4 linked regions of the Drosophila melanogaster genome follow. The protein of the gene in region 4 interacts with the protein of the main gene of each other region in a pairwise test. Each region holds a gene or a part of one and is shown on either strand. Other genes may lie near its edges. The genes, in order: CG15422, CG43894, Sod3 and CG34205.

Region 1 (6,549 bases), on a different chromosome or scaffold from region 4:
ATTGAGGACTCGCTTATCACAACAGTGATGGATCAAACTCGTAATTCTGCTGCAGCAGTTGTGATTCAATCTCTCAATCCCTCGATTTTCTGTGACTCATATGTTCTAGGGATGTTGAACTTTTCATTCTAGAGTGACTCATCATAGACCTCTTCTTAAGTGGTTTTTTAGGATACATTTTTACTTGCTATTCTCGATAGTTTAAGAATCCAAAAATAATTATCTTGACTCTTCTCTTCATGAGTAATTAATTCTTTTTTAGATATCAATTCCCGAACTCTTATCATGAAAAATATTTTTCATTTGTATACATATACATTTTAAGCCATAGTTGGATATGCAATTCTTATTTAAATACGGCAAGAATGGTATAACTTTTCATATAAAATCATAATTCAAATTTTACTTTGAGTCCAGCAAGATCTTTTATATTTATTACGCCATTTAAATTGAGAAAACTATTGCCCAGTTTTCGTTATAATAAAGCTTAAAATATGTTTATGTACTGACAGCACTAGTTGTACAATAATTGATAAGCTGGCTACGACCAGAGGACATCAATCATTTCCCACCAGTCAGATAGCAAAACCGAAGCCAAATAATATATACAAAAACCACAAAAAATCCACGAAAGCAATTACCCGTACGGAAAATAGAGAGTGGAAAAGGAATCATGACCATGACCATTGTTTATGTCGTTCGCCTGCAGTTCAATTTTCATATTTGTACCATTAACATTGCAAATAAATGCAGGCATATATATTCGCAATATGAAAATGTGTCACAGCAAGAACCGACATTGAAAACCAATCAAGTATATTTCAATTAAGGTAAAGTGCATTTAAGTTATTTAAGCAAATATTTCGAGCGGATTTACAATTGCATTGGCAATAAGATTGAGGCAAATTAAAATGTCAGCTTACATGAAGAAATATGTGCGTAATATATAGTATACTATAGTATATAGTAGTATAAACACGAAATTCAAACATGAAGGAGTGAACTGTTTATTTATTTTTTATTTTTATTATACAAGAGCTTAGGTTTTGTAAAAAGTTAGTTTATAGTTTCTATTTGCAGAAATACATGAAGTTTAATAAATATTTTTAAAGTTTTTTACTTCGTTGTTGAACGACGGTCATATGGAGACCACGCCTACCACCTGGGCGGTGGGGGCTGCTGAACGATGATGACCTCTTCCCTGGGAGGTGGACGCCGACCGCCGATGTTGAACTCGATGAAGGGAGCTCTTGGTGGCACCACATCCACCTCGATAATGGGTCGTGGTGGTGGCGGCTGGTAGACGGCAGCTGGTGTGATGACCTCCACCCTGGGCGGTGGTGGTGGATACCGGCCGCCCACTCCGATCTCAATCACTGGTCGAGGAATCCTTGGCGGCACAATGTCCACCTCTACAATTGGCCTTCCACCGTGATGGTGATGATGGTGATGACGACGTTCCTCCTCGTAGTACGGCATTTTCTTCAGAAACTATCCAAGTATTGTATCCTTAGTGGGTGAAGTGAATGCCTTTGACTGCTTTCTCGAACTGAACTTGCTTCTTCGCCTGCTTAACTATTTAAGTCAATTTTTATCGCTAATGAGGGGGAATTTTTTTTCCTAATTTTGTTATGTGCGTTTTGCACAGTAGCTTAGTTGGTTATCTTGTCAGGTGGAATAAATGTGTTTTTTTCGATAAAAAAAAAATAAAATTGATAAGTGCCATTTGATAAATACGAAATTCCGAATTGAATTTCATGAGGAGAGTTCAAGGTTTCCATGAATCACAATTTTATATTTAAGAGGAAGGACTTAATTCCATGCTTCTGATTGATGACTCACACTAAATTACATAAACATAAATAAAATCGATAATGCAGTATTTAGAATATTTTTAGAATTAAAGACGGGTAGGTTTTTTGAAGAGCAAGATATTTTATTTATTTCGTTTTAAGGTTATATAGCACAATTATATTTTCTTTGAAACGGTTAAAGTTAAATTCCAGTTTTGTTTTTTTGTACCTTCCTCTGGTTATTAACTTGTTAACTTTGTGGTGCGTAATGTCAAGACCATTGCACCATTTGCGTTGTCATTTCAACTTAAGATTAGGACAAAGTGATATTTGTTTTGATTTCTTGTTATCTATCCCTTCCTTCACTCCATCGATAGTATATTTTTTTTTTGTTAGTGGTGATGGCTTCGTTTCCATTCCGACCTCGTTCACCACTGCGGATACGGTGGATTGTTGTAGGGCTGCTGATACTGGTACTGATACTCGTACGCCTGCTGCTGCTGCTGCGGATAGTATCCATTGGTGGTGGCCACCGTGACGCCGCCGTAGGGTTGCGGCATTATCACCTGTGTGCCGGGCACATAGGTAGCCGCCGGGGTCATGTAGACTACCTCGGCGGGCCGAGGCGGAGGCGGCGGCGGATAGTAGCCGCCACCCCAACCGGGAACCACATCAATTTCGATATTTGGACGACCATGGTGATGGCGAGGAGGATAGCCACATGGATCTTCATAGTACCGCATAGTTGATTAACTAGCCAAATAATCAACCAGCCAACCGAACCAACTTCACCACCCAGCAACGCGTTGAATACTGGAAAGTCCGTGGCACAACACGTCTAGCTCGAAACAAACTGGAACTGCGAAGCTCCATCAATCAGGGTTTGTGGGAATTATTCCAGTGGTTAGAGGCAAAGATAAGATGGCTTAGTCATTCGACAAGGTCTGATAACAGCGACCGGACAGTTGTGCATTTACAGGTGATCGGGTTTCGCTATTTTACTCGCATTTTGTTTACTATATTAACTGATTCCGGCTTATCTATGGGTAACGCGTTATTATTTCTGATATAGGAGCATAGAAGCATTGACAGAGCATTGGTGAAAATGAATTAAAGTTTTGCTAGACATTAACAAAACAACAAGTGATTGCCGTCTAAATTAACCAGGTGTTCCGATAAAGACTTAAAAAAAAAAAACACGGATTAGAGATTTTGATAATAAAAAGAGGGAGTGTGTGTGATGGAATCAACTCGATTGAAACTCAACCATTACTCATGACAAATATGCAAAAAAACTAAAAACTATAAACTAAAACTTAGTTTATAAGGTTATACTTTATTGAGGACATATAGTTGTTAAGTAAGGCTACGTGGTATAAATTCATTGTGAAGGATTTTACAGATCAAAGTTCCTTCTCAATACTGTGGATTGTGGTAGTGGCTGCTGCCGGGCGGTGGTGGTGGTGGTGGATTTTGGTAGTACGGTGGCGGAGGCGCCTGTTGCACCACCATGACTGGTGGCGGTGGCGGAGCCTGCTGCTGCACCACCACAACTTGGGGTGGTGGGCGGTGATGGCGGCGTGGCCATGGTGGTGCAATCTGTACCTTAATCACGGGTCCACGACGATGAGGCGGTCCGCCGCAATGATCGTGGGGTGGTGGTGGCATAGTGGTGCACTAATCTTCTGTAGAAAGTCCGTCCAAATGTGTCGACTTATCGCTGGTAACTGAATTAAGCGAATGCCCAACTCATGGGACTGACTAACCAAACAAACGCCAAAATATTTGCCGTCATAAAAAAGCTCAATATCAGCATTTGCTGATAGCGAATAGGTAGGTAGGTACTCTTAATTATTTCTATTGACGAAAGTATTGCTTCTAGAGCAAAGTTATCGATAAATAAACTGAAAATTGGCAAATGGTAAAGCTTTTTTCGAATAAGCTTTTCAATTCAAATTTGAGCCTGCATATCAATAGATTTTCCTCGTTTCTTTAATGAGTCATGTTTGGTTTTTTCCGGGGATTTCTCCTTAACTTACATATAGTCATGTAAATACTTGTTTAAAGTTTTAAAAAGAAATAAAGTATTTCGTTGTCACGAAGAAAGGAAATGAACCAACGTGCAAATATTTGTATTTGGTTAAATGCGATTAAATTCCTTAACTCTAGTGAAAACAAACTTTAGCTTGAGAAAATGTTGTCAAGCCACAAATATTTATCCAATTTTCAGCCCCGAAAAATTCCCAATAATTCTTTACACATTTTCCTTAGCCGGCAAATATTTGGCAAACATTTGCACGTCTATTATGCAAAGTTTGCAGACACGATTTTGCCTCGAGGGGCGACGTGGGTAAATATTAAATGTATGGATAGAAAAACATGGTAATTTCTGACGGTCAATCAAGAAAAGTCTCTCGGGACTCTCTGAATCTCAATCACTTGATCAAATAAAATTCGGAATATTCGATTTGACAACCAGGAGAGCGGCAGCCTTTTTGGCTGTACTTAATTGAGTGGTTCGTGCTGCATTTCGCATTTCATTCGCTCTTTGAATTGTCACTTCGATCAAGGAACTGGGGTTAAGGGTTACGGCTTAAGGGTTAAGGGTGCTTGCCCTAAAAAGTTAAACATGCACAAAGTGGCAAACGAGTTTCGGGCAAAGTTTTCAACTGACGCAAAAGAAGGAAGGAAATGAGTGCCGCATAACGCGCAACATATCGACTGAGCTTTTGTGGGCGCGCTGCGTTGGTGGGGCGTGGCAGGCCGCATGACAGTCACTCACTTTAGTTATTATAGCCATTAAAAGGAAATCCCAACTGGCTGTAATGAAATCACTGTCCATAGCAAAAACGATAGTTTAAACGTAGCCAATTCACTTTGGGGATAAAAAATAATGTAAATTTTCAAGACCTCTGAAGAAAAAGAAAATTTCTCAAGCGAATTTACTCGAAAAAGTGTATTAAGTGCGTCATCTTTGAAGCCTCCGCTTTTTCCACATGTATTTTTTAACTCCTTGTGCATATTTTAGGAAATGAATTGAGTCCTGGCAAGATAAAATGTCTCTGTCCCCGAGTGAAGAATCAAAATCAGAAAATTGGGGCTTGGAATCGGGAGTTGAATCTGGATCTGAATCTGCAGCTGAAACTGAGGCAGCGCCCTCGAATCGATAACTGTCAAAAAATAAGCCGGCAAGCAACATGCAAGACAGGCGCATAAGGGGGCGTGGCAAAAGGGGTGTTGCAAATGGATGGGGATGTGGTTGGGGGGATGGTGGTTCTGGTGGTTTTAAGCGGTGGCGGCGGCGTCGCACAATTTAAATATTTATGGCGCTCCGCTTGGTGCACAAGAAACGGAACCAGGCACACGGCATAGCCAAAAAACCGTAACCGTAAGCCTAACCAAGAAACCAGGAAAAGCAGCTATCCGAAATTTCGCAACCCGTTTACTGAGAGAAATCAAATGAAAGTATTTGCAAAATTCAGCTTCGCACAAAAGTCCAAATTATTGTAATTATTATTTTTAAAGGGATTTAAAATTTTGAAAAAAAAAATATCGGTTTTATACAGAATAACAACATGTACGTTGAAATGTGTATAAAGGATTTATGAAAAAATTGATTGTATGCATTTTTCTTCAGTGCATACCACCTTTACGAGGCTTCTTTAGCAGCGGCGTCAGAAAACGCATTTCCTGCTCATGTCATGACATGCAAGTGTGGCTGGGAAATCGCGTAACGCAGCAAGAGTTGGCAAGAAAATCGGGAAAGTTGGAAAATCGGTTGGTGCAGAAATGGGTTACCCAAAAGGAATCATTGCTTTTGTCGACATGTCATGGCAATACTCGTATCTGAAAAGTGTTTTCGGGGTTGGGCTGAGATGTTTTTCGAACATTTTCAAGAACATTTTATTGAGCTACCGTTTTCAGGCACTCGCTGCAAGTTGATGATTGATAGAGTTGTAAAACTGAAGACGGAAAGGCAAAATGCTGCCAGAGGTGAGGGATGACTTGACAGTTTTGCTAAACTCTTGAAATCTTGCAGCGTAACTACGAAAATGTTGTCGAATATTTTTACAATTAGGCAATGTGCTTAGCATATTCAATAATTTAAATATTTTTAAAAATATTATTAAAAAAAGAATTTACATATTTTTACATTTTTGAACTCTATATTGTAAATTAAAACGGTTTCTTATGCACAATAGTTTTAGAAGCACTGACGCTTGCGTTCCTCTCAACTTTTAATTGAAATCAGCTCACAGTTTTACAGCCATAGGTGTACACCAGCAACCGCCACTCCCCCTTACGCCCACAAGGCCATTAAGGAACTTGTTAATTTGCATTTTCCATTTCCATTTGCATGAAAATTTGTTTCTTTTCGCGAGGCGCAAAAATTAACCAGCGAAAGAAACAAAAATGAGGCAAAAGTTGAAGGGAGCACAAAGTTGTCCCTTTAATGCCTGCGGTTTGCACGCCCAGAACTCCAGGAAAACCAAGGTCTTCTTATGCGTATACATGTACATAAACTCAAGCCAATTTCCGGATCTCACTTTCATGTGCCGCCGTATAATTGCTTCTCACGTATTGTCGCAATCAAAACAAAAGCCCACGAAATTCATAAACGATTTTTCACTTTTCCATTTACTGGCACATCCAAAAATTGGGTAAACATTTCCGAGGGAAAGGGCCATCCAAAAAATCGGACGGATAAAATGTTGGACGTAAAATGCTTGGCAAATATTTTTGTGACTTTGTTGCG
Region 2 (7,218 bases), on a different chromosome or scaffold from region 4:
CACGCGATACAAGTACGAGGTGGATGGACTCGGAGTGTCGCTGCCACAACTCCTGTCCAATCGCTCCACGGTGTAGGGCATGGAGTGATTGCAGACAAAGTCGCTGAAATGGATTTTAGCCCCCATCCACTCGAAGGTGGTGTCCTGCACGCACTTCACCCGAATGGAACGCAGCTTCGCATCCAAAGACTCTCCATTCGCGGGCGCGAACGAATGGCTGCAGTGCAGCTCGATGCTGGCGCCGCGTTGAACCTCCAGGTGCCCATAAGCATTGGGCAGCCAGTAGAGATCTGTTCCTGGGCGCAGGTACAGCGGCTGCACTTTATCCAAACGGGGCAGATCATTTTGCACATCCACTCTGCAGGGAGAACCTAAAATGGGAAGTTAGGTGTGTTAAAAGATGTGGCTAAAAATTCTTGGCATAATTTTAGGCGATGACATAAAGATTAAATATTTTACAACACAATAATATTATTATATATACGAACAATATATATATAACAATTGTAATATAATAATTTTATATTCATATATATATTTTTAAATATTTAAGTCTTTCTTATTTTGAATTTTAACCAATTTTAAGACTAATTTATTTTCCAGCCCTTTGGTGCTATGTATTTTACTTTGTTGAAGCAGGTGACTTTTATGTGTAAATAAGGTTATTGTTTCTACAATATAGTTTTTTTTAAGAAAAACAAACATCAGACCTTTTTGCATTCCAAAATGTACATATATTTCATTCCGAATGTGACCACTACAGTCAAACTACTCAAACAAAGCTCAGTCTGCTTTGGATAAACGTATGGTTATTAACTTTTAGGCGACCACATACCTTGATGAAACATTTCTCCATCGATGTGCAGTCCATCGAGATCTTTGATTATCTGACCCACATCTGGAATGGTTGCGATCGCCTCACGTGCCCGAATCTCTCGCAGAATCACGACCGCCAAAATTAGGCCGATAAACTGAAGCATCATTTTGTTGGAAACTCAACTCGACCGGTTAAGTTGCTATCTAACCGCCGACTGAATTATTTGTTTGGTGAACAGGTGTTTTTATTTATATTCTCAGTTCGTGCTCTTGTATCTTACATCTCTCTCTCTCTCTCGCTCTCTCTTTCGTTTTGCTTCTTTGTCTTGTAATCTCTCTGAGAATAAAGATATAATACCATTGGATTGTTTGCATTTTTTGAGTACTTCCGAGTTCTTTCTATCTATATACCTTTATACATATGTATGTGTATTTAGGTCTAGGTCGCATTAAGTTCTTTGCTTTTGTCGATCCCCTTTCTTTACAGAGCTAAAACAAAAAGTGATTTATCTCGCGAATGATGTATCTCAATAATTTTATTCAAGATTAATCGTCAATTATATTTGACATTTTTCTTATTTAATAATCGAAAATAATCTATTGTTAAATGACCTGGCAAACAATGTATGTACACAATATATTCATACCTGGACAGCTTTCGATTCATTTGTAAATGAATAATGATCATGTAGATTTCGGGGATCATTTAATTGAAATCTAACCATATGAGTTGTAATCGTTGTTATTGTTATTATTGTTGTTGTTATAATTGTTATAGTCGTAGCTGGGTCGTGCAGTAGTGTACGTATTGTAGGGATTGTAATTGTTATACGTGGGATAAGCTCCATTCGATCCATAATATGAATTTGGATTCACGCCCGTACCCGTGCCTGCCCCAATGCCCATTGGCAGGATTATTAAGGGCTCCACAATTATGCTGGTACCACCCATAGTTCCACCTCCCTGGGGCATCATTGGCATCATGGGCATGGCACCTGGCATGTACGGTTGTCCCATATAAGGTTGTCCCATATACGAGGGATAATACGCACGCCCCGGAGATGGTACATTCATTGAAACAGGACCAGGATACGGCAGCGCTCCTGGCATTGGCATTGGTCCTGGCATGGGACGCATTGGAATCTGACGTGCCGATCGATTGTGAAATTGTGGTAGTGTTGCATCAGAATCCATTTCGGAATCCGTCATCGTTTCCCCCAGAGAAGCTGACAAATATATGTATTAGCTATTAATTTTAGGAACGACAAATTTGAAAGTAATGAAATAATGTTCGGAAGGAGTCCATCCGGTGCTGAGTAGCTTTGAATTTTTTTTAACCAGTATCGAAGATCTTAGGAAGATCCACCCGAAAAGGGTAAGTTAATATTGTAATTATAGGTACTATAACTGGGTGGGTACGGATTGTAAAATGATGGAAGTGAGTTCCCAGCGGAACGTCCATTATAGTTCATATACGTTGGATAGGACATCCCTACTGAGAAGTGGAGCCAAGGATTGGCCGAATTGGGTTGTCCTTGCATGGCATATTGCCGGTTGGCCTGGTATTGAATTGCGTACTGTGGGTTGGGCTGAGGTGGAATCACATATTGTGGTGCAACTTGACGCGGCTGCTGCATTTGAAACGGTGGGCGAGGTGGTGGATACCCGGGTGGCATTGAAGCTGGCATCCCCACAGGCTGATAAGGCATTTGTGGCGTTCGCCGGAAACGGTGCAAAACTGGCGAAGATATAGAAACGAAAAAAAAAGGTTGATAATAGATTCTATATTTATTATTTGCACATAACTAAAGCTCCTGGTCTTTTAGCCAGCTAATGTGAGGTAGATTAAATAGTTATTGGTTGATGAGGGATTGGCTGATCTAGACAGGGGGTATCCATATTGACCATATGAACTTGACCGCACACTGGGATAGCAGTTATAGTAGCATGGTGGAGTGGGAGGAACTAATTGTGGCCCATTGGCCGATCGCTGCTGCGTATAAGAAGGCAATCCTGCTCCCGAATTCGGATAACGGGGATAAGTACAGGAATATGGGTAGAGCGGACTGATGGTACAGGGAGGACTTTGTCCTCGATTTAGCCAAGGATTTGGCTGTTGAGGTTGCTGGGAACCATCTTGAACAATAACCAAAACATTAGCCTGCCGTTGGCCTGCATGGGTGGCAAATGTATCGGAGTTACTGAAATCGCTCAGCAGTTTAAAGTCACTGTTCCTATTATTCCGATTGCGACTCGTGGAAGTGCTGGGTATGATGATGCTGTTTCGGGTGTTGGCAGTGGTCTGTGTAGTGTCGATGATGAAATCGCTGGCCAGCTGATCTGAAACGGATCAGTTGAAAAGGACCAGATTTCAGTGTGAACCGATGAAAAAACAAAATTTTACGAACCTGATTGGCACTCCGGATAGGTTCCACATTGTTCTCCTTCTTGCTGATTTGGGTTTTCGCAGGGAACTCTGGATACAATGCATTTTTTACCAGATATACAGGCAATATCCTCACAACTAAGTCCAAATTCTGTATTGATAGTGGGGAATTTTTTAGATTTTATCCCTTATCCTGTTCGCTGACTTACTTCTGTATCCTTGGACAACAATCGTCGTGGCTAATATCAAATATATACCAACAAGTTCCATTTTCTCTTGTAAAATTCCGAAACTAACTAAATTCATTTCCCTAAATCCCTCATATTTATATCATTTTGATATTTCATGGTTGATGAGTTGCGGTAATGATTATTTGCAAAATTAAATCACCGAAATATGATGATTATTGTTCTGACTCTTTCTAACATAAATAAAAGTTCATTAAACAGCGCTAATTGAATATTTTTGTATGGCTGTTTAAATGCAGTACATTAAAACTTACACGATTAATAAGTTACTGCCTAAATATTTCAGCAGTAGGTTAGCCGAATAGAACTATCTATTAAACGGTCTCTGAACTACGCCTTGAACAGGGGTAAATAAACATTGCTTAACAAAATAACACACACTTTCAGCCTTGATAGATATTACTGATTAATTAAAACGAAGTTTAACCGCATTGTTGAATCCGCAACAATTCTAAGTGAATGATTACTCGACCAATATAAATCAATTTTGGTTTCTATCTGCTTCATTTACGGTTTTTGCCTTTTGTTTACCCCCTAAAAAGTCCATTATAATTATTAACCAAGCAGGCGTATACTTCATACGTTCTGCGACGATTGTGTTGCGATAAGATAAACAAAGGGAACCGCACAAGTAATACAAGGTATTTCCTTAGCTTCGATAAGAAAATGTGAAAGTCACTGCCATTGGGACTTCGATTCGGGCCAAGGGACTGCCTCTTGGGCTACTGGAACAGCAGAAAAAATTAAGGCTTTTGGAAACGTGCGGCACGTGAGCAAATAATCCAATGGCTGGGTAAATAAATAGCTCTACCCCGGCCATAAACGATAACGTCAAGCATTTGATAACCTTACTCTTATCAATATGTCCAACATGCAATAAACTCCAAAGAGAACAAAAGCTAAACGTGATTTCACTGTTTTATGGCCCATGAGAACTTAATTTAAACGTGCCTTTAAGCATTTTCCTAAGGGCTACCCTTCAATAAAAACCTGTTTTCTTTAAGATAGTCTTTTTATTGGTTTTAAATTAAGAAATTCGTTTTTTTTTTTGGAAATTGCACACCCACAAAATCTGATATTAAACACCCAGGACTCCATCGACAAACAGGTCTTGTAAAGGTAGGTCTTTCACCACTGCAGTAAAGTCCTCCACAGTACAGGCATATGAATAGCCCTTCTTTAGGTCCTCTTTGGTCCAACTGACCCAACTCAGTTGGGCGCCAATATCCTGGCAGATGATGTACTCCTCTTCGATTTGCTCAATGGTGGCATGTGGGTTGTTAACTCCAAGTAGCACGATGCCATTTCTGCTCTCGCGATCGATAATCACGCGGAAGTACAACTTTGGCACTGGAATCAGACCATTGTTGTTTTCATCAAAGTCCAAATAGAGCTCCCTTCCAATGCCATTTACATCCGGCAGGGTGGACACACCCCATGTGCCCGTATAGCAATCCACTGTGATGTTTTCATCCGCCACAAACTTTCTCACACTGTCCTCGATTCGTTCCCAGTTTCCGCCATTAAAGGTCTGCCACTGAGGTGCCGCATTCACAAAGAAGAAGCTCGCCTTTTGAGCGGCCCCAAAGACAAAGTCGGTCTTTGCAGAAAGGTGACCCCGAGCCAGATAGACATTACCAGTGGTGTTGAAGTATGGTGAGGCATCCATGCCCAAAATCTCGGAAACCGTGATATTCTGTTGAACTTGGGTGTACAAAGTGTTCACATCCTTGCCTCCGTAAAAGTCGCCGGGTATAAAGGATGGCCTGGATACAGATCGCTGATATTGGTCACTTCCGGGGTACAAAACATGATGCACATAGCGGGTGACTTCGCTCAGTTCATCGTGACACACGTCATAGGTCTGCAGGAAGTCGTCGCTCGAGGAGGATGACAGCTGAAAGCCCACTTCAAGCAGATCAGTACCACCATTGCAGGGACGACCAGAGCGACGAGCAGTGTATGTTGGCCAGGAAGTGCAGACAAAGTCCTGCAGCTGATACAAACTGCCCATTGCCAGGATGCTCTGCTGTTGCCAGCATGTTGAATTGACGAAGGTATAACCAGAGAAGGGTCCACTGAAAGAATTGATGCAGTGGAACTCAAGGGCTTCTCCATGTTTTAGCTGAACTACTCCTTCTTGATTCGGTTCCAAATATCTCGCATGACCCAATTCACTCCTGACTACAAATAAAGGAGCCGGATCCTTAAGATCACCGTTCACTTTAAAGCTGCACACTTCATTGTCCAAGATTTGATCAGTCAAACCAAGAATTCCTGTTGTTTGCAGTTGATCTGTGGGCAAATCCTTAACCACTTCGATGAAATCTTCTACAGAGCACGCATAGGAGTAGCCCTTCTGCAGGTTTGCTTTGTCCCAGTCCAACCAATCGATTTGCGCTCCCACATCCTCACAGATCACATAATCCTCGAGGGTCTCCGTCAATGTTATATGTGGATTGTTGACCACAATTAGAACTACTCCCTTGCGACTTTCCTGATCGATAACAATGCGATAGAGGATCTTAGCTACTGGCAGTTGTTTGGTCTCGGCATTCAGATACAGAGGTGTCTGGACACCTTGTGAATTGGGTAGAGTTGAGATATCATAGCTGCCGGCATGTACACTCACATTAAGTGCCTCATCCGCCACAAATTGCTTCAAACTGGATTCCACTGCAAGCCAATTTCCAATATTGATGCTTCTCCATTGAGGAACTGCGTTCACATAAAAGTGGGTGGCTCTCTGGGCGGAACTATGGACGAAATCAAGACGAGCTGCCAGCTGTCCTCTGGTCAAATAGAGATCCTTAGTGCTGTCAAAGTACTGACTGGCATCTAATCCCAGGGCCGTACTAAATGCATCCAGCTGGTGTGATTGGTCATATAGAACATTGACATCTTCGCCGCTATAGAAGTCACCTCGAAGATAGCCCGGTTGAGCAACACCCTTTTGGTAGGCCACATTGGCCGGAGTCAGTTCATAGCGAGCGTATCTGGAGATCTGCTCCTGCTGATCGTAGCAGAGCTCAACATGGCTAAGAAAACCGGCAGCCACATCGAAGCCGATGTGCACCACATCCGTACCACCAGCGCAAGATTGTCCCGATCGGACTGCCGCATATGTGGGCCAACTCTGGCAGACGAATCCTCGAATATTGACCAGCTGTCCTTCGGCCTCGTACAATTGATCACCAACACAACGAGCGCTCAGAGCTGTATACCTATTAAATGGTGATACCAGAGCTCCAGTGCAGTGCAGATCAATGGAGGATCCTTCTTCCACGGTGTAAAGCCCACTTTCATCGGGCAGCAGCCAGCTGAGAGCTCCTTGCGGTGTTAGTAGTGGAGCAGGATCCTTGAGATCACCATTTGTACTAAACCTACAGGGATTGGCAATGGGATTGGCAGTAGTCACCGGAGGACTTGAAGTAGAGGTAGACGTTGGAGATGTTGAAGTTGATTCTTCGGTTGATAAAGTTGGTTGTGAAGTGGTAGAGGAAGATGTAGTTGAAGTAGGTTCCAGAGTGGTAGACGAGCTTGGTTCTGTTGTGGATGTAACTGTGGAGGTAGGTGGTTCAGTGGTGGGTGTAACTGTGGAGGTGGGTGGTTCAGTGGTGGATGTAACTGTGGAAGTGGGTTGCTCAGTGGTGGATGCAACTGTGGAGGTTGGTGGTTTAGTGGTGGATGTAACTGTGGAGGTTGGTGGTTCAGTGGTGGATATAACTGTGGAGGTTGGTAGTTCAGTGGTGGGTGAAGCGGTAGATG
Region 3 (9,588 bases), about 11 Mb from region 4:
CAGCAAACTGTTAATGAAATTCGAATGGGTTAGGACATTTCTTGGGAGCTTCTCTAGAAAACTTACAGTAATTAGAAGCGTTGGAGACTCCTTGATCGCTCCGAAACAGCCCAGCGAAGCTATCAGGAATATGATCAGGCCCGTGACTATGAGGACAATTGGCGGTGCAAGGACTCGACCTTCGACAAAGTGATTGAATTCATTCACATCGGCCAGGACAACGGCACCAGCAATAAGAATTCCCAGGCCGGAGATCTGTAAGAAATTTTAGTACCTTCGATTAATCGAATCGACCTCCAATAGAACCGTTAAGCAATTTAGTTAATGGCTTCCAATCATGTCCTAATTTGCTATGGCAGGCATTTATATTTACATTCCCTATTCTAATTGAACGATAAAAATCGCCCACGACTTAGTCAATGGCATTTCCATGTTCAAGTCCGTGCCGTCATTGAAAGTCAACTGCTTGCGCAGTTGGTCAATGCGAAGGACACCCGATGTCCATGTCCTTTGGAGCACGCATACATCACTCGCATGTCGTTACAGGCCATCGCGTTTGAACATTATCCGATTATCCGATTTTCCGTGAGTGAGAGTGCCATTTTCCAGCGATACTTATCTAAATGAGGCAGGCGAACAAGACTCCAAGCACAAGCGTAATTATAGTGCTTATGGCGAATTAGAACTAATTACGAGCAAAAATAAATCTGGTAGAATGTTACGTTTGGACGGTTCAATCCGTTTTCATAATTGCAGTAACAGTTTGCACCTCGAAAATTCCCAGAAAATAGTTATGTCATTTCATAAAATTTTATGATTCTTTTTTGAAATTAATATCAATAAGTCAATTTGATTGGCATATGATTTGTTAGAAACAAAGTGATTTGCAGTATGATGCAATGTATTGTATTTAGCATAATATTCTCAGTATCCTTTAGATATTTTACTCATATATCATATCACTTGCACTTACCGCAAACAGCACATTAAATGCGAATAAGACATATTTAATTAAACTCGGACCGCAAGAACGCATTTTGAGATTCCTTTTGGGGCGAAGCACTAATTCAAGTTATTTCAACTTTAGATCAATTCAAATACAGAATCGCTTTGGTGCGTGATATGACTTAGTGATCCAGAGCGATGGCCCAAATCGACTGACCGCACTGGAGTTTAACCGCGAACTGACCGGAGCGACGGTCCGGCTGGGCTTTAGAAGGGCCCGGTTCTGTTGTGGCCACTTGCCACTTGCCGGGTTGGTGGTGGCAACGGATCCGGATTGCGGTTGGGGTACGGCTAGCAATGGGTAGCGGCGGAACAAAAGCGAAAGCGAGTGAAAGTCTTGGAGGCCCGATTCGAATTTAGGCCAGGCATGATTAGGCTGGAATCGGAATAGGGATCGGGCATGGGCCTATGACGGACTATATGGACTATAGGGGCTGGAACTCCGTGCTGGCTTATTTCACTGTTGATTTAGCATTCGATACCAAAGAACTTTGACCAAAGCAGCGAGGCGAGGCGAGGCGATTGGTTGCGTTTTGTGGGTCGCCCGGGGCTTACCTCACTTGCCTCACTCACGGCTCCATTCGCCATCTCCAGCTGGATTCCGGGTGGGTCATTGCACTTATTACCATAAAAATTTAGCTGTGCGCCCACGTCTATGTGTTTCCCTTTAAAGTTCGGCACTTAGCACTTGGAACTCGACCGGGCCCAAGGCGAAATTAATTGCGTGCTTTCGTGCGCGGCAAAGAAAGTTGTAAATGCTTTCTCTTTCTCTGAGGACTGTGCGAAATAATTAAAGACGCCCAGAAGTATGCCACAGTCTTTCGGATGATGTTAGTGTTGCGTGTCGGGAATTATGGCCCTAGGTTTTCTAGAATCCCACTGTTTGACCCATTCTCTGGCTGAGCCTATCTGGTCGAAGAAATCTAGAAAAAATAAAAGCAAAAACTGTTGCTTGACCATTAGTTGCGGCGGCTTGGAATCAAAATCCCTGGGAATTGGAGTTCTCTGAATGATTGGAGCACAAATATTTTCTGAAGGCTTCCGCAATTTAAAGCAAATTGTGGCTCTAAGCTGGAATTCAGCAAATCAAAGGCAACTAAATGTTATATGACCCATTCGCAGCCACATAAAGGTGTATGGGTAGGAAAAGCTTTGGTGACGTCGAAGTTCTATATATAGTTTTCCTACCAACTTTTTGAGTGTTCATTTATTTGGTAACCTATTTTAGGGAACAAACAGCTATTTGTCCTTAGAAATCAACATACAAAATTGAAGTTATATTTAATTCTCTTGATAACTTACTACTACTGTGATTTATGTGCAATTCTAACAGTCCATTGGAAACACTTTGTCTAATCTTTTTTATAAAATTAGAGCTAACCCTTATCTGTCGTTCATTTTCAGCAACTTTTGTTACTATCTAAGCACGTACAAATTGCAAGCACCCGAAATACAAATAACAAACTTTATTATCGATCAATTCAAACACTTTACAAGTAGCTTAGTTAGTTCCTTTGATTTCTCTATTTGGGTGGATAATGCTGGAGTATTATAATTACTGTTGGTAGTGGTGTGCGACTCATGGTTGTGTGGTTAGTGTGTAAGTAGGTATGCAGATCACTACGATGGCCAACAATCCCATGCCACATGCGTGCATTCGATCCGATCCGGGTGCATGTTTCGGATTAGTCAAGGCTGCGGGCCATGATGAGGGCCACGATGACGGTCAGGATGGAGAAGGAGTAGCGCAGGGCGCCGGCGCCACCATCGCGACATGGCCACTCGTCCACATCCGAGCTGCAATTAGAAGGTGGAACAGGCGAACGGTGTAGTCTCGCGATCTCACAGATACAATTGGTGCGACAACGGATACGGATAGGGGTATGGGTGCGGATATGGATATGGGTGTGGGTATGGCAAAGGATAGTGCTGGAGTGGATAGACAACATGATCTTGTGGCTCCCCATGGGGCACATAGTACAGTGGCTGATGGCGTGGTGTTGGTGGTGCAGGTGCAGGTACAGATGGGCCACTGGAAAACATACAATGTGAGTTTTTTGATTGAACCCTGGTTGGATCAGTAAAGTTCCGATTCCAGCGGCAGTTGTTATTCCAATATCCCCTTCTCTTCGCCGACCGACCGACCGACCGACCGACCGACCGACTAATGCTAATGATGTTAGTAAAAATGATAGGTAAAAAGGCTCTCTGTCATACCTACCCACTCGGAAAAGCAACCCCAGCAAAGCGCGAAAGTTTGTTTAGGCCATGAATATGAGGTGGTAGAACACAAGTGGTACAGAGTATGCTAATGTTTAGCTTAGATTTCGGTTAATTTTTGTTGATTTTATTACACACAAACACACACACGGCAAATCGAGTGAGTCAGTGAACTGAGACAATTAATTGAGGGAAATGTGTAAGCCAAACATGTAAGGGTGAGTGTGATTGTGGGTGGGGGAATTGGGAAAATTGGGAAAACATTTCATTAGTTACTACGCCTGGAGTTACACAACTACACATAAAGTATTCGAGCAGCATATTGATTTGGCTGACACGTTGGAAGGGATATTTACTTGATGCCAATAACACCACAGGCTGAAAGAAGGTTTAAAACAAATATTTTATTATTATTATTATTTTATTATTTTACACTGACTACTTACCAATGCGGCCGCCTGCATTGCCGGTCTTCTTGGAATCCGTGTGGTTGCCCAGACCGAGATCATCCTCCAATTCGTGGACAACAACTCCCCTGCCAATGATCCCCAGCTTGCCAGTTAAGGTGATCACCTGATCCGTGTATGTAACGTCGATAATGCCCGTGGAGTTGGCCTCCAGGTTGCCCAGATCGCCAACATGACGCACCTCGTGATCGGGGCCACCGTGATCAACCTGAGACATAAAAGTTATATTAGTGATTTAGACACCTAATCCTATAAAGAATCCCGCATCTACCTTATCGGGGTTATAGTGAGCACCCATGCTGATGCATCCATTGGTCAGATCTCCCTTCTCGTGAATGTGGAAGCCGTGCTTGCCCTCCTTCAATCCCTCCAGCTGGACGCGCACATGGACATTCTGGCCACAGTCGTTCTGCGTAAAGGTCACGTTGCCCTTGACCTGGGTATTATCCGATTGCACGGGTCCAATCAGATAGGCAATGGCTTGAATGGGCATATTGCGCTGCAAAGTAAGTTCAGTGTCCTAATTATAAGTGGATTTTCAAATTAACGAGATTATATATCTTACCGTCTGCGCAGCAGAGCAAATTGTGGCACAGAGTGCCAGGCTAACAACAAGATATTGCATCATTTTGAACTGCAAGGAAATCATAGTTAAATTAGACACGTGTACGACTCGGATAGCAAATGTTAGAAATGTTTAAATGTCTATAAATAAATAATTTTAAATTGAGTGGCACAAGCAGAGAAAATCCCACCAGGGATGATCTACTGGACATAGCTAAAAATGAACTAAATGATAATCCTGAAATTTCGATAATTGATATGGACTCAATATTAAAAACATCTTCCAAAACTATTTATATAATGCTTTATAGTAAAGCTTTAAATGATTTGGAACCAAATACTTTCAGTTTTGGGAAATGCTAGGAGGGTTTATGTCTTGTAATCTCAAATTCCGTGATGCCAACTCATCTCTGGCACTTGAATTCCAGCTCATCTCTGGCTTGGACGTCATCAGGTGTACATTCTCTTGATTCCATTTAAACGGACAGTTGTGTGCGGAATTGAAGCGCCTAGCCTCAATTTATGAAACGATTTGTGGGTCATATATGATGTGCGAACGGGTATTATTATTTATGTGTGTGAATAATGAGCGATACCCAAACGAAACTAAATGCAAACAGCCTTTTTCACAGGGTTAAGTGCGGCTGCGGGAAGGTCAATCAACAATCTCTTTTTCGTACGCACTTCGCTTCCAAAGTTCCACAAATGAAATGGATGGGTGTCACACTTTATCGGGGCAATATTTGTTTATGGGTCCGGTTTCCTTACGGTCTTATCAATGTGTCTGCGATATGCTGGCGATCTTGCACGCTCGAGTTCTGAAACGATCTTCAAACGCGGTCAGTACCTGCTCTACACACGTATCCTTATCTGCACTTGGAATCGGTCCCATAATTTACGATTCTCACGCTCGTAGAGCGACTGAATTTCGGAACTAAAAATGCCATTGTCATTACGTATAAGTATTTTAATCTGTTTTTTGCCAGGTATTTACTTATTCTGGTTCAAACTGTCACGAAATGGGTCACAAATTGCAACTAATAGCCACTGCTTGTCCATCAAATAAGGTTTATTAGGGCTCTTGCTTGCTGATTAAATATGATTGATTTGAAAATAATAACTCAGTTTGAGTTTTACCGTGAAACGATATGCTAATGAAGATGCTTATCTGAACAATTTGATCGCAGGGCTCTCTTCGTGAATTTGCAAACAATACAGCCAAGATTACTTGATTTCACACACAGAGACTTCGCGTCTAATTTAAACGCCGAAGCTATGCAGTTTTGAGATAAGAACAAGCCATAATTTTACATATATGAAAAGATAGAATATCGTAAACACTTGTTCAACCAACTGTTCACGATTGGGAATTTAAATGTTTATTGAAGTTTTAAGCCGTGGAATGTGTGGATTGTAATGGATATGTACAATATTTTGTGTCTGGTCTGTGCTGCATTTTTGCCCACTCATTTTTCTGGATTAATAACTGGTTACCTTAACCCACTCAAGGGTGAGCGGACAGTGAATGAGAGAATCAAAAATCAGTGAAGTAAACTCCGTTTTTGCGGTAACTGGTTTCTTTTTGGTAACACGCAATTGTGGGTAATATATCTAAATCAGGTTCTAAAATGTAAGCAAACCAATAAATTATGAACAATTAACAATTACAATTAACTCAAGTAACTTCAACTTCAGCTTAACCTTCACCCAATATTCTCGATTACTAGCCCTTGATCTTCTTTTTTTTCGCGTCCGTTGCAAACTCACCTTGTTAGCAACTATTTTATAATTGGGTACTGATTGTTTTTTGCGAGAATTAAGCGATTGCACCTCTGTACCGTTGGAAACCTGCGACGGAACTGTTTCGAGCCTCTGGCATTGCCATCGCAAATCGACTCGCTGAGAGAACATTGGGGCAGATTTGGCGAGAGCAAGAAGACCGCAGAATTGAGAATTGAGAGCGCCACCAGGTGGAGCGGCGGATATTGCATTTGGCGGTCAGCACGATCGCGTAGGCGAGAGTTCCGCTCTCAGGTTTATCTCGGGCTTACTTCACCGCTCTATCGCTCTATCTCCCTCGTTGAGTTTTTTTTATCAACTGCAGATTGATCAGATTCTTTTGTCCAGCTCTGATGATATATTTATTATCCTATTAACGGCCTTTTTTTTAATTATATCCAAATTATAGCTATTAAGTAATTCTTTGAACTTACTAAAAGCGCAGCTGAAACACGCTAACGTGCTTTTCATTTGAATACCTTATCACTGTGGCGTCATAAAATATGTGCCAGGCTCGTGCCTACAATGGAGGTCGTAAATATTGGCATGCTTTCCAGATACGGCGAAGCAATTTGAAGAACTACTGCTACAAATTCTTTGAAAATGAGTTGCCAGGTAATAGCTTCTGATATGCCAACCGATGCCATGAAATTGTAGTTACATCACATTTATAGCAGGCCGGGATCGAATTTTTTAAATAAATAACGCATTTAAGTAGGTGAAAATATTCGTGTATTCACATTTGTAAATTGTGCTAATAAAATCATCGTACATACAAAAACTCTTAATTATTGATTCTCTCAATACTAAATGTTGATAGCCAAGCCCTACTTATACAAGATATAGAATGTAAGTACATACTACTGCTACTACATAATAAGAAACTTTCCACTTGGGAGCTGGTTAAAATTATATTGCCTACTGTAATTTTGCACATGTCCGCCTGTTTTTTGGGTTTAACCGCCGGTTAGGATCGGTCGAGGATTAAGCTACTTCGATTAACAATTAGTTTTGGTTGGATTGGGATCGGGTTTCTAGATGAGCTTGTGCCTGCCGAGGGAAGCCGTGTGCATGGGACTGCAGTTCTCGATGAGCATGGTCTGGCCCTCTCCAGTCGGTGATTCTCCACCTTTGTTGTTGTTGTTGTTGTTGTGGTGGACCCTCTTCATGGGCCGCTTTCGTTCGATATCCGCACAGGGGTGCAGCTCCACGGTCTGCAGACTTTGGGCTCGTTGCAGCGATAGCCGGAGGGGTTTCTTGGGCGGAGTGGGTCTAGTGGTACGCGTCTCAGTCGCAGGCTTCGATTCGTTTTCGCTATCGAAATCCAGGGATTTTACACTCCTCATATCGCTGGGCAGGCGGGCTCGAAGTGTGTTCGACTCACTTTGTCGGGGCGTGTCTCGGCGACGATCCAGTCTGGAATGGCGAAGAAGATCGGGGAGATTAGTCAGGAAAATTTAAATCTATGAAAAAGCCTGTCTTTGCTAGAACATCTACACAAGAATCTCGAAGAATCGCGAATAACCTACCCATTGTAATGATTCAGGTGCTCTACACTGCGTGCGTGCGTGCTCATGAGATGTTCGCGATGCAGTTGCTGCTGTTGCTGGAGAGGATCTCTGGGGCGTTCCCGGTGCTGGCGATCGCGATGGCGCTCCTTATCACGTCGATGGTGCTGCATATAGGCAGAATCGCTATTAATCGAGATCTTCGAGGCGGACAGCGATTTGGAGGGCATGGAGTACATGTGCGACAGACGATCTCTCAAATCGATGTGGGTATTCTCCTTGATCAGTGTTTTGGTTACATGTCCGGGAGGGGTTTGTGTCGAGGCCATGTCGTCACCCATCAGCTCGATGGGTTTGCCCCCCACCAAAGTGGTAATATAGTTGCCCCGCTGAAAGATCAACGGTTTCTCGGGCGGTGTTGATGGAGGTGATGATATGCTGATGCTGGTCACATGCTGAGATTGATTGGAGGATGTCTGCTGTGGATTTTGCTGTGGATTTTGCTGTGGATTTTGCTGTTGCTGCTGCTGCTGCTGCTGCTGTTGCGATGGATGATGCTCCTTGACTGTCTGCAGTTCTCGCACCTGCTCTTCCAGGTACGATATGCGATGCTGCAGCCTCATGTTGTTCTCCTTCTCCTGGTCTAGTTGCTTTTGTGGTATAGGTACGGACTTCTTGCGGAGTACAACCATCTGACACTTGCCAGAGTTTCCTACTTGCTTCTGCAGCTCTTCCTTGGATTTTCCGGTTACCAGTCGTCCGTTGATCTCCAAAATGCGATCGCCCTTGTACAAGCCATCACCCTCTAAAGCCCATTCTACGTAGAAACCCGGCTGGTCTGTCCTCTGTTGAACTGCCCATCTTCCCGAGGTGGCATGCACGGCGTGCAGACTCAGGGAGACTCCAGAGCTGATGATGTTGTAGAGGGTCTGCGCCTCGGGCTTGGACTTTTCCAGACGTGCCTGCAAGGCGCGAGCCTCCTCCACAATCGAGAGCATCTGGAGTTCTTCTCTGCCGAGTGCGTATTCCAATTCGGCTTGACGGATGCGGATGTCTATGTTGCTGTGGATAAAATAAAGTAAGTATTAAATATCTTCAAGCTAAATAGTATTAAAACATTCTACTCACTCTGTGATGTCCAGCTTCTCCAGGGCACTCTTCAGGTTCTTGATCTTAATTCGCTTATTCTCCGCCTCCGTCTTCAGTCTGTTTAGTTTTTGCTCAGCCGCCGGCTTCTCGGACTCATCCAGCGGTGGTCCCGTGGGACGTGGCAGTTTGCCCAGACAAAGCTGTATACGCAGATTCTGGATGACAGCCTCCCGATCCTGAAGAGCCGATCGCAATTCCTTGGATTCGCTGCGCGTCGATCGCGAGGAGAGAGTACCGCCCAGGGAGCCACCCTTGCGCCTTCTTCCAGTTGTGGAACAATGGGTAGAGGTGGTCGTGGTACTGGCAGTCTCCTGGTTCGTCTCTGCAGTCGAGTGCAGACTGTACTTGACGGCACTGCCACAACCCTTCGGATTGAGAATGGTCTGCAACAAAAGAAGGCGAACAAAGAAGTGAGTTTTTTAAGTTTATCTTATTAAGCACAGAAGTCAGGGAGTAAAATGAGGCTGTCATAACTTGATCGTGATAAGATTATTATGATTATTTATTTAAAAGATTACAAGTCTCTTTGAAACATTATTATATAAGCTGCGTATATAGTGTTTGCAGGGGTTGGAATTATTCCTTGGGTATATCGTACACCCCGCACTCTCGATTGGCGGGCAGCGAGGCATCTAAAAGATATTAAACTTAGTAAAAGACGCATATAGTAATATGTTCACATCCCCACCTATTTTCTTGGGATATGGTAAATTTAGGTTTTCCATGATTTTGACAAACTCTTCAATATCCTTAGTCAGTCTGGGGTTATACCGCTTCTCCTCCCACACACTGCTTTCCATTTGACCTCTGGAAATGACCGCCATTAGATTGATATCACATAGCATTCCAGATCCCACTCACTTATAGTCGTGCGCCGGATATATGCGAAAGTTTTC
Region 4 (7,188 bases):
AGTTTTAATTCCAGCATTTCAATGAGCTCTTTCTAGTGGAACCCTACCTAAATATTCAATTGATATCTTTATTCCGCTTGCAGTGATAGGAGCCGGCGGAAATACGTTTTCCGCAATCCGGAATGCTATGGGAATGAGGCGGGTGGCCACGAATCAAGAGCCGAACTTGGTATCGCTGTACGACCCGACGCCAATTGAGATTGTCCAAAACCAGAGTGAGTTCCCCCATCTTATCGGGTATTCCCTGCCCCTCCAACGCACAGTATATTTCCAGATGGCGAGCTGTTTGTTTACATACCCGGCTTCAAGAAGGAGCCCCTGCTGCAGTTCATCGATGAAGCACCGCTGGTCATCAACTATCTGAGTTTCAGCTCCTTTGGTTCCAATACGGCGCGGTGGTTTTACGACTGTGGCTTCGATGGTTATGGTAAGGATGATATATAGTAAGCTATAAGTCTATATCTGTAAGTATGTTCTAAAACTGACCCATTTCAGGGTCGGAAATTGCACCGATAGTGAAGGAGGAAACGAAGACGGAAAAACTGCTAAGCCATCTGAATATCCAGGCGGAAAATGCAAGCATGCCGGCTAATCTCAGCTCCATATCGTTCCACTTCCAAACGCGCTCCCTCGCCTACGAGCAAACCAGTTCCTTGCTTCAGACCCGCATGCACATGATGATGGTAATGAAAGATAAGCTCGAAATGCAAATATTTAGTGTGAAACAGTAAAGATACATTCGCCTATCCATGCAGCACTGGAGGGATAGTCGTCTTGTCTGGAAACCCGAGGACTTCGGCTCGCTGGAATCTTTCGAACATCCTGACCTTCGTATATGGAAGCCGCATATGAACGTCCTCAACGGCGCCCTGCAATCCATGGGTCAGGTCCTCCAATCCTATGAGCTGATGGTCTACGCCAACGGAAGCATCACCCTGTACGCTCAAAACCTCCAGCTGGCCAGTTGGTGTGTGGACAGTGCCCGAAACTGGCCAAGCGAGCGAGTGACTTGCGACATCGAGCTGGGTCTCAATGGCCAGGAGGGGCAGGAGAATGTGGCGCTAATCTACGATGATCAGCGCAAGCCGATTGCGCCCAATGAGCACGTGAACACGCCATCCGGCTGGTCGTTCACGCAAATGTCCGTGGTGCTGGTGGAGAACGATTCGCAAAGGCGATACAACCCCAAGGGAATGATGCAGAAAATGACCGGCGATGTGGCAATTGAGTTCACGCTGCAAAGGAATCGGAGCTTCTACATGACCGTCTTCTATTTGCCGTTGATTGGTAATATGAAAATGTGTTTGATTTCTTGTTATGGAATAACATATAACTACAATATATTCTTTCAGCCTGCCAGATGTTCCTGATTTTGTCCTTTGTACTGCGTTCTACTCGTAGGAGTTCCCTCATTCTCATCGCCTTGCTGATTGCCGCCTGGGGTTTAATGTACATGACGCGCTACGCCTCTCCGCATTATGTGCCGCCCATGAGTAAGTTTTAAATCAATTAACTAAAACTCACTGTGTATAATTTTCAAATTCAAATTTTCACTTTTCCTACAGTGACTGCATATAAAGTCATCATGATGACCACCACCTATTGCTACATTCTGCACATCTGCATTATATGGCTGGATCTATATCCACCCAGATCGAAGGCTCCTGGCTGGCTGGTTAGGGTGATTAACTCCAATGTTCTGCGATGCATTCTGGGATTGAGATTTTCGGATGTGAGTAGTTAAGCCCCTATTGAACACATATACGTATTGCAATTCACTATATTCCTACAGTCTACCGACTATTGCGACATTCAGGAGAATCCCTGGCACCATATGGCCAAGATCCTGAACAACCTGAGTTCAATCTTGGTCATTATAACCTTTGCCATCGTAGATATTACGAGTGGGTTTTGAAAAACAGAATTTTTCTTTATTGTGCATTTGAGAGAATATTAATGGTTCTTAAATAAATAAGAAGTAAACAGAGAAGATTGTGAAGATTTTGCGACTACAAGTTGAAAAAGTGGGAGAGCGTGCTGGGCTGTTGCGACTCCTCGCAGTTAATTGCTGCCATTGTTCCAACTCCGATCCGGGATCGATTTGGATTTGGAGTGTTTTGGTATCGGAGCTTAGTGGTAACCGTATCCACCCAGGGACAGGGCAGGTGCAGCGTATGACTTAACCAGGGCAGGAGCTGCGTAGCTGATGGCTGGAGCCGCATATGACTTGACCACCGTGGGAGCAGCGTAGCTGATGGCTGGAGCGGCATGGGCGTAACTGATGGCTGGAGCGGCATAGGACTTGATCACCGGAGCTGGAGCAGCATAGGCGATGGCAGGCGCAGCGTACGACTTAACAATGGGCGTGGCATGGGAAACAACCTGTGCATGCAAAGTAGATTGTAAGATTAAATGGGAAAATATCAGAGTATATCCAGATCTTACCGAGCTGAAGTGCGAGTAGCTGGTGGCTGGAGCTGCCACCTTGACCGCCACAGGAGCAGCATAGGACTTGACCACCGTGGGAGCGGCGTAGCTGATGGCAGGAGCGGCATGGGCGTAGCTGATGGCTGGAGCGGCATAGGACTTGATCACCGGAGCTGGAGCCGCATAGGTGATGGCTGGGGCAGCGTAGGACTTGATGACTGGAGCTGCAGCTGCATATGTTATGGCAGGAGCGGCATGGGCGTAGCTGTAGTCCGGAGCCGAGTGTCCATAATCAAGGAGTCCAGGAGCAGCAGTGGCCACAGCCAGCAGAGAGGTAAGGATCTGGCGAGGTAAATGGAAAACCAAACTTTGATGTTAATCTTTTTGATCTAGTGAATATAAGATCGAGGTAATCCTTGTATGAAGATATCCTTTGCAGTCAGTATTATTGGCTTAAAGTGATAATACTGATCCTAGGCCGCATCCTTTCCAACCCTTTCCACTCACCAGAAGTTTCATGCTAGCGCTGGATAACGAATCACTTGGCTTGGAGGGAGAATTGCAACTGTAAGTGGACGTGTGCATTGCGTTACTTTTATACCCCTCGACGGCAGACCACGCACTCGCACTCTCGAGCGGACTGCGAACTGCGGACCGGAGGACAGGTGGTCGAGCGGACAGATCTTGACTAGATTTCGATCTGAGCCTCGGACGGACAAACAGTCAGCAGACAGCAGTCAACAAAGCGGGCCAAGCAGCACCAATTTGTGAAGTATCTCGGCTGCAGTGAAACTGCAATTCTCGTAGACGCAGCTCGGATTGGAGAGCCCCCAAACGCGGATGACGCAACCTGAACTGGAGCTGGGAGTTGGGAGCTCCGAACCGAAGGCAGACCACTTGCCGGCTAAGGAGTCGCCGCAGGAAAGGCGGTCTTTACACTGGGGGTGCCATTGTGGCTCGCATTTGGAAAGCGCACGCTAATTGAAATCGCTGATTAGCTGGCCAATTTGGGCAACGCGCCAGGTGACACGCCCCTCGAAAGCACGCAGCCTTGCCACTAACAACTTAATTAGCCAACGTAGAATGCCGTCTAATTGTTTTCGTTGCTATGTTTGAGTATTCTCGAAACAATTCTCGGCGTGGCGCTGGGAAATTCTCTCCAAATTGCATAATGAACGCTTGCCAAATCGGCAAACGCCAAAACCAAACACCAAGCAGCAATCCCCTCTGGCCGAAATATCTAGGCGAGCTTCATATTTATCTTTATCGTGCCTCGAATGCCGCTGCGTGCCACATTTGACCATATTGGATGGGTGATTTCAGCCGCAGCCACGCCGTCTCGTCTCGAGGACACTCGTGCGTGGCGAGGGGGTTTGGATCGAGTGGAGGCCCCAGTTCGCCAGCTCCAGCTCCAGCTTCAACTCGCCATCGATCCATCGACTTTGCCGGCTGAAATTGCCGGTTCAGCATCTGGCAGTTCGTGGGATTTTTTATGGCCGACTTGATTAACCCCACGGGATGTGCGGGGGTACGGAGGTGTGACATTGGGTCATCACAAAATTAATAATGCTACAAATTGTTGAGAATGCTCGTCGTGATCCTTATCACGGATTAATAGTGTCTCAAGTAATCATTATATCACTTATTCGCTTTAAGTATAGATATGGTGTATATATTCATTTCTTAAATGATTTATATTTTTGTGGACTTTACATAACTTTTTGAGACAATAAGGTAGTCCGTGTTTAAATACTTGCTTTATATATTAGGGTTAAGAAACTAAAGTTTGGAAAGCACATAATGTCTCAGATTAGCGCATGCAACTTGCAGCACTTCAGTGGAGTTCCTCTCAAGAGGTCTCGAAAACACCACTTCAACGCCGAAATCTCGTAAAAAAAACTCGAAAAAAAACTTAGCACAATGAGAAAAGGACAGCACGAAACGCCGCAAAAGAGACAGAGAGTCACCTGCGATCGCAGTTCATGCATAAATCATGCATGCCAGTGGAATGTGATTTATGTGAATTCTATTAGCAAATATTAAGTCAATAGGAGCAATTGTTGCCAGTGGTCGGCGACTGCCAAACAAGTGTTCCATGTCCAATTCGATCCGGACAGATGCGGACAGATCGGTGTTGTGTGTTGTGGTCGGTGTGTCGCCGGTCCTCATAAATAAAAGATTTCCCAGCCACTGCCCCACATTTTGGCCAGGTGGAAAGCAATTTTCCAGCAATCGGTCGGTGGATCAGAAGGGTGGCAAACTCGAATGCCAAATTGCCACATACTAAATGACGATTTAAGGCGATCAGCCGATCGATCCTCGTCTTGGTTTTTATGGCTTCGATCGAGAGGCGAGTCTTTAGCCGCATTTGGATTTGGCGATCGGGCGGCGTGTGCTCCAAAATGGGTGCAAAATGCCGCGAATTTTGGATGACGGGCCTAATTAGCCACTGGCCACAGAATGGATGAGAGAATTCAAAGCGATTGCCCAATGGATCGCAAGCGCAGAATTCTTCGCGGCGCACGCTGCGTATGCGTTATTTTTCGATCCATTCAATTAATTAACGCCGCTGCATTTGACTTGCAAATGCTTCGCGGAACGGCCAAGAAAAACATTGCAAAATGGAAAAGCGCCGCTTAATTAAATCAAAAACAAACGACGAAATCAACCAGCCTGAAAAACCAAATAAAAACCGCGTGGCATTTATGACGCTTTGCCTGAATTAATGAATGAATCGTGGTGGACATGGAAATGGATTTGGAGTTCAGCTTTTGGGAGCTGACAAACTTAGAGCCTCGCTGCTGACGTGACTGGAAGTTTTTGAAATGCACCGCACCAACTTTGATGAATTTGTTTTCAAATGTATGATTCCCTTAAAAATCGATTACAATTTGGATAATATTTTAAGCTAGCAGAAAAATTCCATGTGATGATATATATATACATATTTGGAGGTCTTGTAAATGAATTAATTTTTTTCTTTGTGTATTCCGAGTCCATTTTGCATTTAGCAATCCCAACTGACTGCAAATCAATGACTGTTTCTACTCCATAGACTGCTGGCCATTTTGTCGCCTTCTTGTTTGTTTTTCGTCAACAGGAATTGGTGGTAAGTGGTGTATTTATGGGATGACTGCGTCGAGGCGGTCGGTTGTGAAATGATTATTGCCATGGTAATGGTCCAGATAAAGTGGGCTGATTAAATAGAGGAAAACGGGCTATAACGATCCTGTCTATGGATATTTGTGTATGTTAAATGGCGTGATTAATAAATAATATTTAATAAAATACAAAATATTTAAATTTAAAATGCTCTTAATGTTTGCGCTAAGGTGAAACGGGTTTGATGTAAGCTTAAATTTAAAACTAGCTTTTTCGCTGTCTTAGCTTAAAGATAAGCTTGGCTTAGTGGCGCCATCTAACAGATGTTCTGCTCAATTTTCATGACCAACAGATGGCGTAGCTTAGGACAGCGGACGTAGATAGCTGTCATGTATATTTTATGTTTTATGTAATTTACTTGTATTACAAACTTTGTTTTGAAATATAAGTTAACATTTGCAAAAAAAAATATAATATTGTTGGCTAGATTTATAGTAGTATATATAACCTTTTTAAAAAATGTATATAAAACATTCAACATCGACATGGAATGGAATCCTATTGAATGAGCAATTCAAGTTTATCATTCAATACAACTCTTTTTTCTTCAATCGATTGCCCTTCGCTACGTTTCCATAGAAAAAGACCCAGAGACTCAAATAAATATAGATCAAAGTCACTGAAGTTAATGACGTATGAGCAATGCACGAACCACAGCATTGGGGTGTCGGCGATTTAAAGGGGTTAAATGCTCCCCTTGAAATTCAACAGGTGAGCAAGTGGGTGGAATACCTATGTATGTTTGTGGGATGGATGGATTGGACTTCGCTGAACACTGACCTTAAATCCAATTTTAAACACGGTTTGTTGAGGATTGCTCCCCTTTTCCAGTTTAGCCGTGATTAAATCAACCTTTAAGCCTAGATTATTAACTGATTAAGTCCACTGCAGTTGTGTGACTGACTGCGCATTTAAGATTGTTTTTCTTTATTTGTGCGTTTGTCAAGTGCAGTTTGAAATTCAAGTTGCCTAATAACTTAAAACCCCAAGCAGCTTTAATGGCCATAATTCGTCTGTGGACGCAGAAGAGGTGGAAGAATCCGAAGGCAAAAGCCAAGAGGAGTGTCTTCGTGTTGTTGCCATTGCTTTTGTTGTTATGGCGGTGTTAATGTTGTTGTTGTAGCACCACTATTGACATTATTGATGGAAATTCTTTTGTGTTTTTACGGGGGGCAAAAGGAATGAAGAAAGTAAAACTTACCGCGGCAACAGACGAATTTCAAATGCTCTTAATAACTACATATGAATGTATATATTATTACCTTTGCATTATTGTAAGGTAAGAAAGAAAACACTTTTGGTCAAGTAAGAACTATCTGTTAATTATTAGTATTTTTGATTTACTGGTAATGCATTGTTTTATAATACACTACTACCTACTACTACTTTCTGCGGATAAGTAGCAACGCGCGCTATTTACTCTTTCCTAGCAGCAAATGAAAGCCCAACGATGAGGTCGCTTATGTGGACAGGTGCAGTGGCCAGGTAAATTCAGGTGTGTGCGTGTGTTTGCCTCCGTTTTCATATGCCGTCCGTCTGTTTTTCGAATGCAGCCCATACCGATAGCCATACCAATACCCCTGCCAACTCCCATAACCA

What was found.
Region 1: the proteins of CG34205 (region 4) and CG15422 interact in a two-hybrid assay, tested with the Drosophila melanogaster proteins (one large-scale study listed by BioGRID).
Region 2: the proteins of CG34205 (region 4) and CG43894 interact in a two-hybrid assay, tested with the Drosophila melanogaster proteins (one large-scale study listed by BioGRID).
Region 3: the proteins of CG34205 (region 4) and Sod3 interact in a two-hybrid assay, tested with the Drosophila melanogaster proteins (one large-scale study listed by BioGRID).

The regions. Positions count from the first base shown.
Region 1 is NT_033779.5:4,001,043-4,007,591, reverse strand, and holds CG15422 (uncharacterized protein), read right to left. Parts: upstream 2,609-6,549; 5' UTR 2,537-2,608; coding exon 2,222-2,536; 3' UTR 1,922-2,221; downstream 1-1,921. Other genes in the region: CG15423 (uncharacterized protein), read right to left, coding at 1,156-1,479; CG34176 (uncharacterized protein), read right to left, coding at 3,210-3,461.
Region 2 is NT_037436.4:12,886,478-12,893,695, reverse strand, and holds CG43894 (uncharacterized protein), read right to left. Parts: upstream 3,927-7,218; 5' UTR 3,473-3,926; coding exon 3,412-3,472; intron 3,354-3,411; coding exon 3,225-3,353; intron 3,157-3,224; coding exon 2,639-3,156; 3' UTR 2,591-2,638; downstream 1-2,590. Other genes in the region: CG14118 (uncharacterized protein), read right to left, coding at 1-371, 836-983; CG14120 (uncharacterized protein), read right to left, coding at 4,529-7,218.
Region 3 is NT_033778.4:11,377,992-11,387,579, forward strand, and holds Sod3 (superoxide dismutase 3), read right to left. Parts: upstream 6,124-9,588; 5' UTR 6,024-6,123; intron 5,085-6,023; exon of another isoform or gene 4,941-5,084; intron 4,327-4,940; 5' UTR 4,321-4,326; coding exon 4,258-4,320; intron 4,192-4,257; coding exon 3,964-4,191; intron 3,901-3,963; coding exon 3,672-3,900; intron 3,604-3,671; coding exon 3,582-3,603; coding exon of another isoform or gene 3,578-3,581; exon of another isoform or gene 3,038-3,577; coding exon 2,848-3,037; 3' UTR 2,803-2,847; coding exon of another isoform or gene 2,691-2,802; 3' UTR 2,458-2,690; downstream 1-2,457. Other genes in the region: Tsp47F (tetraspanin 47F), read right to left, coding at 1-7, 67-255, 974-1,036; sprt (sprite), read right to left, coding at 7,070-7,451, 7,565-8,605, 8,672-9,075; CG30022 (uncharacterized protein), read right to left, coding at 9,269-9,324, 9,381-9,499, 9,554-9,588. UniProt on the Drosophila melanogaster protein: Protects the extracellular space from the toxic effects of reactive oxygen intermediates by converting superoxide radicals into hydrogen peroxide and oxygen.
Region 4 is NT_033778.4:22,128,199-22,135,386, forward strand, and holds CG34205 (uncharacterized protein), read right to left. Parts: upstream 3,102-7,188; 5' UTR 3,013-3,101; coding exon 2,935-3,012; intron 2,770-2,934; coding exon 2,446-2,769; intron 2,383-2,445; coding exon 2,131-2,382; 3' UTR 1,916-2,130; downstream 1-1,915. Other genes in the region: NtR, read left to right, coding at 84-215, 275-427, 496-683, 756-1,287, 1,353-1,493, 1,566-1,732, 1,793-1,915.